3 linked regions of the Drosophila melanogaster genome follow. The protein of the gene in region 2 interacts with the protein of the main gene of each other region in a pairwise test. Each region holds a gene or a part of one and is shown on either strand. Other genes may lie near its edges.

What was found. Proteins that work in one complex are often made in the same cells at the same time.
Region 1: the proteins of CG32633 (region 2) and CG4318 interact in a two-hybrid assay, tested with the Drosophila melanogaster proteins (one large-scale study listed by BioGRID).
Region 3: the proteins of CG32633 (region 2) and CG18336 interact in a two-hybrid assay, tested with the Drosophila melanogaster proteins (one large-scale study listed by BioGRID).

The regions. Positions count from the first base shown.
Region 1 is NC_004354.4:13,152,437-13,157,366, forward strand, and holds CG4318 (uncharacterized protein), read right to left. Parts: upstream 2,489-4,930; 5' UTR 2,425-2,488; coding exon 1,714-2,424; 3' UTR 1,025-1,713; downstream 1-1,024. Other genes in the region: CG32645 (uncharacterized protein), read left to right, coding at 1-281, 393-521; CG4332 (uncharacterized protein), read left to right, coding at 2,660-3,553, 3,633-4,427.
Region 2 is NC_004354.4:13,559,423-13,564,621, reverse strand, and holds CG32633 (uncharacterized protein), read right to left. Parts: upstream 2,952-5,199; 5' UTR 2,912-2,951; coding exon 2,905-2,911; intron 2,657-2,904; coding exon 1,806-2,656; 3' UTR 1,263-1,805; downstream 1-1,262.
Region 3 is NT_033778.4:11,292,752-11,297,233, forward strand, and holds CG18336 (uncharacterized protein), read right to left. Parts: upstream 1,836-4,482; 5' UTR 1,515-1,835; coding exon 1,499-1,514; intron 1,438-1,498; coding exon 1,169-1,437; 3' UTR 1,025-1,168; downstream 1-1,024. Other genes in the region: dare (defective in the avoidance of repellents), read right to left, coding at 55-266; CG30033 (uncharacterized protein), read left to right, coding at 1-38; CG42336 (uncharacterized protein), read right to left, coding at 1,931-2,419.

The DNA of each region.
Region 1 (4,930 bases), 410 kb from region 2:
ATCTGTTCGTCCTGGTCTTCGGGCTGTACAAGGCCGACCTGTCACAGTTCACCGCCGCCGCCTACAGTTCGCTCAGCCATTCGGCCTGGGCGCTGTCACTGGCCTGGATCACCATCGCCTGCTCCACGGGCTACGGCGGCTACATCAACTCGCTGCTCTCGGCGCCCTGCCTCTATCCTTTCTCCCGCGTCACCTACTGCGCCTACTTGGTCCACCCGATAGTCATCCGCTCCATGGCGCTCAATTCGGACGCGCCGCTTCACCTGGGCGGGGATCTGATGGTGAGTTGGAAGATGAAGTCGCTGTAGAATCGCTGTCTAAGAAAACAAAATCTATTAAATTGGTTATACAACGAAAAGGGTTTATCATAACTTATTTATTGCTTATTCCAGGTTGTCATGTTCTTCGGTCTGACGGTGGCCTCCTACTTCCTGTCCTTCGTGGTGTCGATGTCCTTCGAGGCGCCCGTCGTCACAATGCTGAAGATCCTCTCGCCTAGTCGAAAGAAACGCCTCGCCTAAGTCCTGAGCCGAGATCCGACCATTTCCGATTATTTATACCCTCCATTTTGTCATGTTATCTATTTCTTGTCTATCAAACAATGCCCACATATTTATAGCATCGACTCATCTGCACCCTCGACTCTTTCGGATCGTTATCTATACATGTACTTATTACTCTGCACCACATTTTTCACTCACAATGTGTTCCAGTTATAAAAGTTAAAAAAAAAAAACAAACAAACAAATCAAAATCGAGGAAAACATGACGTGCAACTTGAAGCGTGCAAATCAATTCAACCTATTTTTATCATATTTTTGTTTCATGATGTGTACATTTTAGTCCTTTAATTTATTCCAAAGGTTTGGAAATTTCGCGCGTGACGAAGAGAGAGAGTTATACATAGTACTTCATAGTTATAATTATATAAAACTCTAGTACCTAATTTTATGAAATCATGTTGTATATACTATATGCTGTATATTGTTATACATAAACCTTTAAATAAAAACTGCTACCAAATACAGTGTCCCAGCGTTTAGTATTTATTCCAACGATCATATATCGGATTGACAAAAAATGAGTATAATCGTTGTGAGGTTCTTTGGAGGTGTTCGCTTTTCGAAGTTCCCTATACTTTGGTAACACGTTGCATTAGTCTTTTAACATCATGGTCGTTCTTCTTGGTTTGGCATTAATTATGGTGTGCATGGTCTTGTGGTTCTTAAGGGCAGAGTTTCTGTTGAAGATCTTGGGGCATCGGGGACACTTGTAGGATCGCATTAATTATGGTGCATGGTCTTGTGGTTCTTAAGGGCAGAGTTTCTGTTGAAGATCTTGGGGCATCGGGGACACTTGTAGGATCGCATTAATTATGGTGCATGGTCTTGTGGTTCTTAAGGGCAGAGTTTCTGTTGAAGATCTTGGGGCATCGGGGACACTTGTAGGATCGCATTAATTATGGTGCATGGTCTCGTGGTTCTTAAGGGCTGAGTTTCTGTTGAAGATCTTGGGGCATCGGGGACACTTGTAGGATCGCATTAATTATGGTGCATGGTCTTGTGGTTCTTAAGGGCAGAGTTTCTGTTGAAGATCTTGGGGCATCGGGGACACTTGTAGGATCGCATTAATTATGGTGCATGGTCTTGTGGTTCTTAAGGGCAGAGTTTCTGTTGAAGATCTTGGGGCATCGGGGACACTTGTAGGATCGCATTAATTATGGTGCATGGTCTCGTGGTTCTTAAGGGCAGAGTTTCTGTTGAAGATCTTGGGGCATCGGGAACACTTGTAGGATCGTAATTCAGGTCTCGAACTATGTACGCGCTCATGGCGCCTAAGACCGCGGATTTGTGCGTAGGACTGGGAGCATTGTAAGCATTTGTAAGGTTTTTCACGCGCATGGACCCACATGTGACACTTAAGGTGCGCAGGTAACATGAAATACTTCCCGCAAATGTTACATTTATGTGTCTTCTTCAGCATTTTCTTCTTGGTATCCTTCTGGGCGCTGCTCTGGCTCACATTGCCATTCCCGTTGGAGTTTGAGTTGGGGCACATATTCTCCACGTTGTCCCCCGGTGAATCGATTGTCAAGTCAATTGTCTCCATCTCCTGGCTGCCATCGACTGGCTCAATCAGTTCAACATCGGAGTCATTCGATCCTTCTTCCTCATAATTCATCTCACTGACCACCATCTCATCCTGCTCAATCACCTGCACGCTGTCCATCCCGTAAGCAGTCTGCGCATCCAGCGCACAAGACTGGCAAATGGTCTTGGGAAAAGGATCCTTCGGTAGAACCGGGAAGCCGCACCAATCGGAAATCATGGTCGCTAGGGAAACGCCGGGTAGCGGCATCGTTTCGAAGATGCATAGCATGTTCTCCATCTCCCTCAAACAGACACGGCACATCCTGGAATCCATTGCTTTTAGTTAAATTTAATTTTTTGACATGTATCACGTTGGGATGGGAATGATAGTTTGGAAACACGTGCTAGGAACGACCGTTAGGGACAATAAAAACCGATAGTTTTTGAAGCTTTAGATCATCGATACTGCCGGAACTATCGATAGCTTCTTTTAATGTTTTGCCGGCTCTAGTGCCAATACCAATAAAACGCCGGCCAACGCACCAACGAGAAAACCGTAAGAGGAGGACATGGCCCTGCCCTCGATCTCCACGCTTCTAGGCGTTGCATTTCTGGCGTACATCGGCCACTCCATCTACCAGATGTCGCAGCTCTTCACTACGCTGCAATGCAGCGGTGTGCCGTGCTACACATCATTCCTGGCGGACAGGCCACGCCTGCAACTGGCATTGTTTTCCTCCCTCAGCAGAAGTCCCATTGCCACCGAGGTGCGGGATCTGTACAAGGCCAAGAGGTTCGACTATGATCAAAACTTTGAGCACGACTTCGAAGTGGATGTGCCGCTGAGGACGCGCCGGAATGGCTCCCTGTATCTTCATGTGGTCTTGGCCTTGGAGGGTGAGCCACTGGAATGGCGTAGCCTGCGCAGAGATGGGCCCACCGTTGTCCATACGATGAGTCTCACGGATTACATAGTGCCGCGGGCGGAGGCCTTTAAACTGCTTGGAGATTCCGAGAAAGGTGCAGCAGCCGCTGTCCAGGAGAAAGAAAAGAAGAAAGCCTCCACCACTGGACGTCCCAGCACCCACATCCGATCGAATGTTTACGTCACCCTGCTCAACGATCTCTATTCCGTTTCGCAAGCGGATGTCCCACCTGAAATGGCCCCCTTGATACGTGTCAATCGCAATCAACAGATCTTGCCCATCCTGCAGACTGATACATTTAATACGCGGCTAAAGGATCTAGTGCCCGTCACCCGCAATACCACCGAATTCACATTCAGCTTCCACTACAAGCCCGTGGGCGTGGGCAAGCTCCGTCTAATGCTGCTCATGGAACACGCCACCCAGGCGCTGCTCACCATTGGATTTGCTACCAAGGATATTGACGAGGTGAAAGGCATCTTTTCGGACACCAATGTATACCTTTTGTGTGGCACCATCTTTGTGTCCAGCATCCATGTGAGTAGAGATTGAAAAATTGCAACATACGTCATATGCTCCAGTCCTATAACTAATTTATGTTTCCCTTTTCCCGCAGATGCTCTTCGACTTTTTAAGCTTTAAGAACGACGTGGCCTTTTGGCGCAAAAAGCAGTCGTACGAGGGGCTATCAAGCCGCACCACAATGTGGCGAGCGTTTTCGCAGATCGTGATCTTTTTTTATCTGCTAGATGAGAATACGTCGTATCTGGTACTTGTGCCAGTTGGCCTGGGCACGCTCATTGAGCTGTGGAAGTGCAAGAAAATCTTCCGTCTGGAGCTTAGCTTCAGTGGCCTGGTTCGTCGCAAGCTGGAGCAAGTTGACCGGCGGAATGGTGACCAAGCTGGCGTGAAGTCAGGTCAGCTGGCGGAGGAGCAGAAGACTGATCAGTTTGACAGACAGGGCATGCGATATCTGAGCTATCTGCTGTATCCGCTTTGTATATGCGGAGCGGTCTATTCGCTCCTCTACCAACCACACCGCTCCTGGTACTCATGGACACTTAACTCACTGGTGAACGGAGTTTACGCCTTCGGTTTCCTGTTCATGTTGCCGCAACTGTTTGTAAACTACAAGCTGAAGTCTGTGGCCGCATTGCCGTGGCGCGCATTTATGTATAAAGCATTTAATACCTTCATCGACGACTTCTTCGCCTTCATCATCACCATGCCCACGGCCCATCGGGTGGCCTGCCTGCGCGATGATATTGTGTTTATTATCTATCTGTATCAGCGCTGGCTGTATCCGGTTGACAAGAGTCGGCTGGACACGGGTCTGTCCATTAGCGAGACCCCGGATACGGGCAACAGCTCATCCGCTTCCATTGCTGCCAATCGCAAGAAGCGAAATTGATCCTATATCAGCAAAAGGAGTAAAGGTTGCACATTCCGCCTATAGCTTGAGGTCTAGCCCGAGACGTAGTAATCCGAGTCCGTCTTTAGTTTACTAGTGATATTAATCCTGTGTTGTAGTCTAAACCGTTTAAAGCTTGTGCGTAAATCGTTAAGTTAAGAAGCATCAACTGAAAATGCGTTTTATACAATTTTAAATCAACAGCATCAAAGGATTGCAGAACTATGGAACTTACTAAAACACATAATTTTAAAGTATAAATTATGAAATATTGTGAGATGACTCAAACGCTGGCCTTTCACATTGTTAGATTGGTCAGCTAAAACCCTACAATAATATATCCAAATGTAGATCAAAACGTATTTTAGAAACAATCAGTTAACATGAAATCGTATAGGATCGTAAGGCTACAAGTGATTCTAAAATCTCAATTAACCAACAAATGCATTTTCTAAAATTTAAAGGGAACCCAAAAGTATCAAAAGGCTAAATATATATAAAGT
Region 2 (5,199 bases):
GGCCACGTAGGTGACGAAAAAAGTACAAAGTTGAAAATCAAATTGAATGACACGAAACAACTCATCAAAAACTTTTAAGATAAGCCTCTTACTAGTTCAATCTAGATTTTTACTTGCAACAGCGGCTAAAATATCAATAAATTAACTGATTAGGCAAAACATATATAGAACGAGGAATTTATATTAGTTAAAAGGTAAATAGTAAACCAATTTAGGGACGAATGCAACAAAGTAAACAGCGCAGATAAATAATGCTTCAGAATGTAATTGGCTAAGCGGCATATTTACCTGATTTGTTGTTGTTTTGGCGGCAGGTTTCCCATTAAACATTGTAAAGCAACAACAACAACAATAACAGCTGTCTCTCTTTCTCTCCCGCTTTCGCACTCCTGTTGTTATTGCTGTCTCGTTCTGGCAAGGAGTTTCGGTGCTGTTGTTGTTGCTGCCGCTAACTATTGTTGCTTGCACTTGTTGTATTTTTGTCACACAAACAAACAAACACGCACACACGCTCGCACACAATGTTGCACGTTGCGTGTGCCCTGCTGCTGCTGCTTCTTCTTCTTTCGTTACTTGCCGCGCCGCACGCTCTTCCTCTTACACTTCCCAAAGCCCCTTACCAATTGACCAATGGCATCGGAATCGGAATCGTAAACAAATGCAGCGCGCTCGCACTCTTCGTCACTCGAATGCTTTCGTCACGTCACCGTGTTCTCGCTTCTTTTTGCAGCAAATATGCACTCGATTCGCACTTTTCGCGACGACAACCGATTTTGGAGCTGTTTGGGGGCAGAGTGTGACCGTCGGGCGCAGCGGGCTGCACGTCGACTGCGGCGTCGCTGAAATTACCTAAAATATCTGTATGGCGCAATGGTGTGGCGTGGTGTTTGGTTACTACGCTGGAACGGTCACACTGGAAAAGAAAGCTCAATGCATTTAGCCAAGACAGGAACCAGTCGAAAGCTTAAATCGCCAGCTGTCGGCGGTTAGGCAAACTGCTACGGCTCGACTTTCTCCAGCTCGTCATAGGTGGCGCCACGGTTAGTGCAGATAATCATCTCATAGGTGGCGCCAATGATAGTGTTAAGATTAAGGCCTTTTAGCAACTTTCCTATAAAATAAATTGCGAAAAAAAGTATTTCCATGGGAAACTTTGTGCTGTCAAATAAGTGCTTAAAACATGTATTGATTACAACGTGTGCACATTAATAAGCTATGAAATAAAACGCTACGCCCGCCACTAATGAATTGACTTTAACTTTATGAAACGTTTTAATAAACTTTTCAATATACAAAGAAAGTTACAAAGAGTTTCGATACCTATAACTTTTTACCTCGGCAGACGAAAGGTCGAGTTATAAAGCATCGAGTGCATATATGTACACATTCTGATAACTGCGATATCTGTCTGAGTTTTACGATGCAGTGTTTGTTAAGTCAGTGGGCGAAGGCAAATGGTTAATTATGTTACAAGTTGACGCAAATTTATGGCCAACTAATCAATTGATTGTTGCTAATTGATAACCGATGTGATAACATAAGGCCCGCATATAGAAGAAATTCCTCACATCCGCAATACCTCGAAATTTCTATGACAACCACTTTGAACTATTATCACCAAAACTCTATGAAAGGGGTACTTTTTTTTTAGAATTACTGGGTGCATTACCATAAATTTTATCAGTTACGTTGCTCGATGTCGATCGAATTAAACTTAAATTTATACTTTAATCTGTATACTTCTGTTGTGTGTGTAAAAAATAGATTTATTAAAAAAAAAATGGAATAAAGGCAAAGCTGTCCGTCTAGATCCTCACCAGAACCTCGTAATTCTCCAGACGCACCTCCTCGCCACCGAATGGGATGTAGATGCAGCCGTGCGAGGGATGGATCTTGCCCACACTCAAGCTGTCGCAGTAGATGGCCCTGCCGACGTAGAGGGGCTCCCCGTCGACATTCGGACCGGAGGACAGGGCTCCGGGAGCCACATTTCCGTGCGAGGCCGGAACCCAACGGAATCCGGATCCCGTCAGCACCTGGACGTCGGTGAGCTCGTGCTCCGCCTGGGCATAGGCGGCATAGGCTTTCCCCTTCGCCGGCACCACTTTGGCTGGCAGCAGATCACCATTGCGGAACACCCTGCCCACGTAGATGGTGTCCCCGTTGGAATCGTGCCCAGCAACCAGAGCTCCATCCGGAATATTTGTTGCGGTGGTGTCGATCCAACGTTCCGGCTGGCACAGCACCTCGTAGGCAAAGATCTTAACCTCATCGGAATCGTAGGGAATATACAGGCAGCCGTGGGATGGATGCACCTTGCCCATGGTTAAGCTGCCGGCATGATAACCCCTGCCCGCATACAAATACTCGCCGTCCACATTCCGACCAACTTTGACGGCGCCCGGCGGCACCTCCCCGTTCTCCGCCGACAGCCACTCGTAGTTGTAGCCGGAAAGCACCTCGTAGTTCTCCAGCTCGTGCTCCTCGCGCGCATACGCCACGTAGGCCTTGCCCTTGTTGGGAATCACCTTCGCCGGCAGCATGTCGTTGGAGAAGAAGGCACGGCCCACGTAGATGGTGTCCCCGTCCGAATCGTGACCAGCCACCACGGCATTCGGCGGCACGCTGCCGTTGCTGAAGTGCATCCATCTGTGGTCTGGGGGATAATGGAAAAATGAAACGATTATTTAACAGCACACCGAATGGTATAACTCTTTAATTCTGTTGTTCATGGCAAGTAAACTAGTTTATTTGGCTAGGCCAAGTTAGTTTCCAAAATTGAATTAATTTATTTTGAGTTTCAACTGATTAAGTACTTTAAAGATTGGTAACTGTTTTATATCATCCACCTAGTTAAATGTTTTCATTTTTTGTTATGGCATCTTGGCCTTACGACCTATTTACCTGCCATTTTCTTGTCCGTTCTTCAGCAGCTCTGACTTTCAACTGTGAAAGTGGTCGATTTGATGGTCTTTTTGTGTTTCCGCCTCGATGTCGCTGATAGGGCTTATCGGGAATATACCTACATGGCCAGATAAGAAGCCCGACCTCAAGTGACTCAGATCTTGGCAAACTCTTGTTGAATTTCTAATCGATTGGCCAATTGGAAGTAATGGGGTTTAACATCGAGAAACAGGCAAGTTTATTTTATTAACCCATATAGTGAAAGTAAATATTGCACTAGAAATGTTATAAATGTTAAGTAAATTTGATTTATATTTTATTTTTTTATCTCGTTATAATTTATACATTTAAAATTCTTTCGAGTCGTCAAGAATGTAATTGCATTCATAATATCATAATGGTTATTACTTTTTTTTTTGTTGCCGACAAACTTTCTCGCTTATTGTTTGTTACATATAGCATATACATATTTCATGGAGCTGTAGTTAAACACAAAAAGTTTATTCCGCTTTTTAACATACTAATAACAATAGCTTGCGCGTTTACAACTCGTGGTTAACCAGTTATCTCGTTCATTTGTTGTGCCACCTTTTCGAGTTGCCTTACATCCGTGCATGTATCTCCATTTAACCGCCCAATATTCGCCAATTTGAATGGGGGAATCGCTTGATCCTTTATTTATTCGCCACATTGCAAATTTCTTGCGCGCGCTTTTCCGCTTTCCCACTTTTCCGCATTTCCACTCGTCCAGTCGTCCACGCACTTCACTTATTTAGTGGTCGCTGTCTTTGCAGTTCGTTTTCGTTCGTTTTCCTTTTGTTTTCCCAGCATTGTTGCCTCTTTGAATGATTTTTCTTGTTTTGCCTTTCAAGTGGATCACTGTTTTTTGTTTGCATTTTCGCCCATTTACAACTATTTGAACAAGGGAAAACGTGGAAAGCTGGGCGCAAAAGTTAAGAGGGGTTGCTGAAATTGCTGTGCAACGCAACGTTTGCACCTGTTTACAGTGGCTTGTGAATTCCCAATGCTGGACTGGTGGTAGGGGCTGTGTGGGGAGTGTCATTATTAAGCTTTACGATTTTTCCACGATTTCCCAGCAGCTTTGCGCGCCCTGCTCTCGAGCAAACCAATTAACCAGAGATAAGTCTAACTTGACTTCAAACTGGGTAAACAAGCTGCATTCTCGAAATACGCAAAAATGTTGCAGATTATAATACTTTAAATCAACTTTGTTCGGTTTTCGTTGTGCATCTTCTTTTTGTGGGTATGATGTTTTTATGCCACTGCAGCCTAATGAATTTGTTTTCGCCCAGCCAGGCTCCATTTGGCTTTGTGCAACGTTTTAACCTCATTTTGGCCTCTTTATTTAAACCCCCCCCCCCCATTTCTCTGTTTGGCCAACTTAATTTCACCTAATACATTTTAATCATTTCCACAGTACCACGAACTAAATGCCCTCCTTCATTAACCCCTTGCTGCTCCAACCCATCTATCTGTCACGCTTTCCGCTCTCGATTCGCATCCGTTCTCCATGGGTCCATCTTTGCTGGTTATACTTTTCTGGTCGCTTTGCTTATCCTTGCCACACTGTGAAAAATAAAGTTGGCCACACCTGGTTCAAGATTAACATAGCTCCTTAGTTCTCATCTTGATAAGAATACTACTTCTCTATTAATATTAAATTTAATTGTGTTATTTAATAATCCAACTTTATCAAGTACTTTAAATACATACTCCCAGTTTTTTTGCAGTGCATTTTCTATTGCAGGGCCAGTTGCAGTCGCGGTTTCGCTTTCTGGCCACACAATGCGGCAGTTTTTCGAGGGTAGCCAGGGGCGGCGAACGCAGGAGGGTTGCTTCTGGGCTAGGTGCATCCTGGTTTCAGGGGCCATCGCCGTGGGTCACATCCAGACGCACACATACATATGTATGTATGTATGTATGCATCCAAGCATGGACTCGCACTGTCTAGTCGTCGCCGGTCACTCACGTGGGTCTGCGGTTGCGACTGGTCTGGCTTTGGCTTTGGGCTTGGGTTTGGATTCCTCCTCCCTCGCGCTGATCCGCCGTATCAGCTAATGGGTGCAGAAGCAGCGCCAACGCTTATATAACCCGCAGGAATCAGCCCCCCAACCCTTGGGCCATGCCCACCCAACACTGGCAACATCAACAAACCAAAGCCAACCGAAATGTGGAGCATTCAGTGGATTTAATGGTGCGTCCTTGTTGTCCAGCACTTTAAGATGATTCAGCTTTAAAAGAGGGGCTGTGGTCAGGGGAAGGGGTGCGGAGTGA
Region 3 (4,482 bases), on a different chromosome or scaffold from region 2:
TTGGCTTTGGCCTGGCAGCCAACAGCACCGCCTTATAAAGATTGTTCTGCTTACCGCACCAGTCCGAAGGGAACCGGCAGCTTCTCGACCACATCCACCACGCAATTGTCCAGCTGCTTGAGGATCAATTGGGCGGCATAGAAGCCGGCGGGTCCGGCGCCTACGATGCATATCCGCTTGGTGGGCGTGGTGCTCTGGATCACCTGCAATCGGGCGGAACTCGTGTGGAGGCCACGTCTGAAGATGTTAAGGCAATTGATGCCCATCGTGGATCAGTCGCCGATCTCTGCTACTGGGAAAGCAGCTCGTTTTCGTATCTTACAGATAATCAGTCGGTTTGCTAGGTGATCTTCTCAAAAAAGTTTTTTGCTAACGATGATTTCTTATTTACTCGTTATCTCTCGAAAGACTTTCGCCAGCAGTCCCCAAAATACCCAACGGAATCCAAACAAAACAGAGTATTTGCTCTCATTGCGTTATGGTAACACTACGTGATTTCGGTTTAATTTAATTTTTCTGAGATGAAAATTCCTATGAAAAATCTAAAAATATATGACCCCAAGCACCGACAGTACATTAGTAATAGAAAGCTAGGAAAGTAAGGATGTTTTAATATTGTTATACAGACAGTTGCAGCGGAGCAAGAATTTAAATTGCGCGCCTTTTTGATACTTGATACTCTCATAAGGCGTTTAAATATACATATCACTCCTTTCATTTCTAAAAATATTGAAAATTAACAAGAAGTATTTATTATTATAAAAAAATATTGAAGCATTTACAGAAATGTTGTAATAAATGTACTAAAAGTCAAATAATAAATGAAATAAATACTTTTTGAGATTTTATTTTAAAATTTTTCGCGTGCGATCAATAATTATAGTTACTTTTCTTGATATTTGTTAGGAGAAAAGTGTTTTTGGCACCTTGTGTACCATAACGAATATATTCTTATCTTGTGACCTAAAGTTTAATTAATTTTATTGCTCGAAAAAGCCATCATAAATTAAATGTGCTTTTCTTGGACATTTGAATTTGTATGATTTTATTTCTATTTGCCATTTTCTACAGGCTTCTACTGGATACGATTTATTTCGGGTGCTTCTGTAAGCGTAACACAGCGAATTTGATTGGCTAATGGTGAGTGAGTGTTCCGATAACTCGGTCCTCAATCATGATTGAGGGCCAGATGACGCTTGGCGTCGATGGTGGAACGGCCATAGGTGTTGCCCACACGAAATTTGTTGCCCGGAACGTGGCCGCCGTAGCGTGGAATCATGCCTACCACCCGCGGATAGATCACGCCATTGGGATTGGCGAATGAGCGGCCCACGCCTGCCTTCTCCACGGGCACCCATTCCGCGCTGCGGATGAAATGCATGTCGTTCTTCGGGTAGCACCATCCCTCATCCGGCAGATGGAAGTCGAAACCAAATCCTAGAAGGGCATGTTGACACATTAGATTAATAGATAAGTCATGGTTGAGCTTTTAACTTACGGCTGGAATAGGACATGTTTTTTATTTCCGCAAAAATTGTTGATCCTTTCCGAGTGTTGCTGCTTAACTGGGTAACTGGAAACTGAATTTAACTATTAATAGCTGGCCTGACAGGAGAAGCTTCGACAAAACGACCCCGTTTCCCATGACAACGGAGGCCAGGATTGGACGGATTGCCTAGATGGCAGCAACAAGTTAGGTCACGACACCGATTTGCATTTCCTGATGCCGTATTTTAATGGCAATTAATTCGACTCGTCGTAACAACACAATTACCGTGGCATTTAAAAGAGTTATGGGGTACGTTTTATTTTATTACGTTTACTGGTTTATGATTTAGTCATTTACAGGGCGATTGTATTGATTAACAAGATGGAAGGTCTCAGGGCCGGAAAGTGCACTACGTCAATGATATCCTCGCCTCCATCTCCTTCAGTTTGACTTCTTGGCCTTCTTCTGTTGCTTGCTCTTCAGTTTCTCCTGCTTCTTGAGCTCCTTTTCCGTCAGGGATTTGTACAGCTTGTAGCCAAAGAGAGCTGTAATGCGGAAAGAAGGGAGACGGTTAGTAAGGTGACGTTGATACATTATGCGATCAAGGGAACTGAGACCGAATATGGAGACCAAGAGAAAGATCACTGCCGACACTATGGAACTGGAGTAGGTCTGTGCGAAATGGGCGTGCTGCACTATTCGCTCCTCGATTCTGCCAATCGTCTGCTGGAACTTGTCCTTCATCTCGGCGAGAAACACATGCCGATCCGTTTCGGCCAGGGACTCCAGCTTGCTCTGCATCTCGCCGATCCGCTGGACGAGATCCTTGGAGAACTTGCTGCTGGGCCCAGTTTTGGCCACGATCGACTCCACGGACTTTTTCAGCTGCTCAATAACCCCGAGCTCGTCACTGGAACCCGACCAACTCATGTTTTGGGTTGTTCGGAAAAGGGGCTAAGTGGTGTGTCAACTACAGCCCGGCATGGGTCTCTGGCAAATACTGCTCTTTGGATTCCACTCTACCTATGTCTGCGGTGGATCCTACGCTTACCACTGGTTATCTTATCAAAAATCGAACGCTTTTAAACGAAGCAAACATTCTAGCTGTGGCTCGTGAGCGAGTGAGTGAGTGCTTCGACATAGCCGCCTCCTAAAACCTTATCGCCCTTTAAGCAGAAACCCAGGTGGGTGCGTATATCGCGCCCGATAAGGGTTATACGACTCGTTAGTGGCTCGTTCCGGAGGACGCTTACCAAAGACAATGAGTATGAGGGCCAGCATCACGAAGAACACCAGGTACTCCCGGGAACTGTGGCCCGGATGCCCGTACTGGCGCATGAAGTCCTCCGGCGACGGCGGCTTCGGGTTAAAGATGCTCTCGCGGAGCTCGGCTCGCTCGTCGTCCGAAATTCCCTCCATGCCCTCGACCAGCTTCCAGATCTCCTCGGCACTGGGCATCTTAAAGTCGGGATGTCCGGGCTCGGGACCGGCAAAACCGCCGGCTCCTCCAGCCGCAGCGGCAGCTGCCACGTCCTCAGCGAATGCCTGCTGGTTCACCGGATCCTCAGCCATGATCTAATCTCTGTTTGGGGCTTTAATTTACGGGCTGGGTTCTGTGGGCTCTTTGGCTTTTAGCGGTTCGCGTCTGAATGGATGGTATATAGGAAATCATGGTATTCGGTTTATGGTTCTACTTTCTGCATTTCAGCATGCTATTGGGGGGGCAAACAAAATCACAGAAACAAACAACGTGGCAAAACAAACGAATCGAATTCGAAAATGGATTTTGATTATCTATAACACAAGTTTGACACGCGGCATGCAGAGATAATAACGATTGTACAAATCACATAAACTACGATATTTAATCCCCCCCAAATCGCACACTTTCCAATATTAACTAATTTTGGCGCTAGATCGCCGGTGCTTACGTGCTCCGGCTTCTGCTGTTTGGGAGGACTGAATGAGTCTCTCTAAAACTTATATTAAAATCAATATAATTATAAGCCGCCACTCGTGTGTAATCAGTCGCTTGTATTTCATTATTCCCAGATATGCCCACTAGTTAACTTTTCGCTGCGCTTTTCGTTTTGCCTCCTGCCTTCGTCAGCATATTTTCAAAGGTGATCGCAAGAAGTTGGCATTGCGGAGAGCATATGTGTGCATATGCGATAAGGGAGAGCCACTAATCAGTGCCGGACACACGAGTACATAAAGACAAAACCCCAGTAAAGAGTGCCGTCCCATTCGCGAGCGATAGATGGCTACAATGTTACAAGATGGCCACCATATAAACGTCTACAGTTTGAATTGTTCAAGACGAACATCGCGAACTGATTTTATAGATCTTTTATTAATTTCTGCAATATCAAGCACTAGAATTGGAATTCAATGTTTCAGCTAATATAAATGTTATATCAAGATAACACTTCTAATCTTTCTACCTATAAAACATATACAACGCTCATTTAGAAATGGCTTTTTTAATTAAGTTACTTTTGGAACCAATATGTTTTGCTTGAAGATCTCTGCAAAAATACGCTAGCAATGTTCAAAATAGAGATGCTGGAAATTCGAAGATTTCAAAAAGGTACGTTTTGCGGCGGAGGTTTGACTGTACGACAGAGTCTATTGAACGGTGGCAGGTCGACTCCTTATCAGAGGGCCATTATCGCTCTTGAGAACCACAAACTTTTGACTACGTACGCAAGAAAACCGGAATGAGACGGACTGGCCAGATGGAACACGTAAGACAAAAGATCGCAAAGGCAATCCGAATCGAGGGTATCTCAAATCAAAACAGATAAGAACGAAAAACCAAACATCCAACAGCTGTGCATATCAAACGGCCAGCAAGCACTTGACTAAGTTGCTCGCTTGGTGAAAGTCTTTCGACCCATTTAGTCGCGGTTTCGCTACGACTATAAAGATATTGCATGCATAACACTGGGGAAAGGAGGGGTCTAAAGGTGGTAGCTAATAAATGAAGGGGG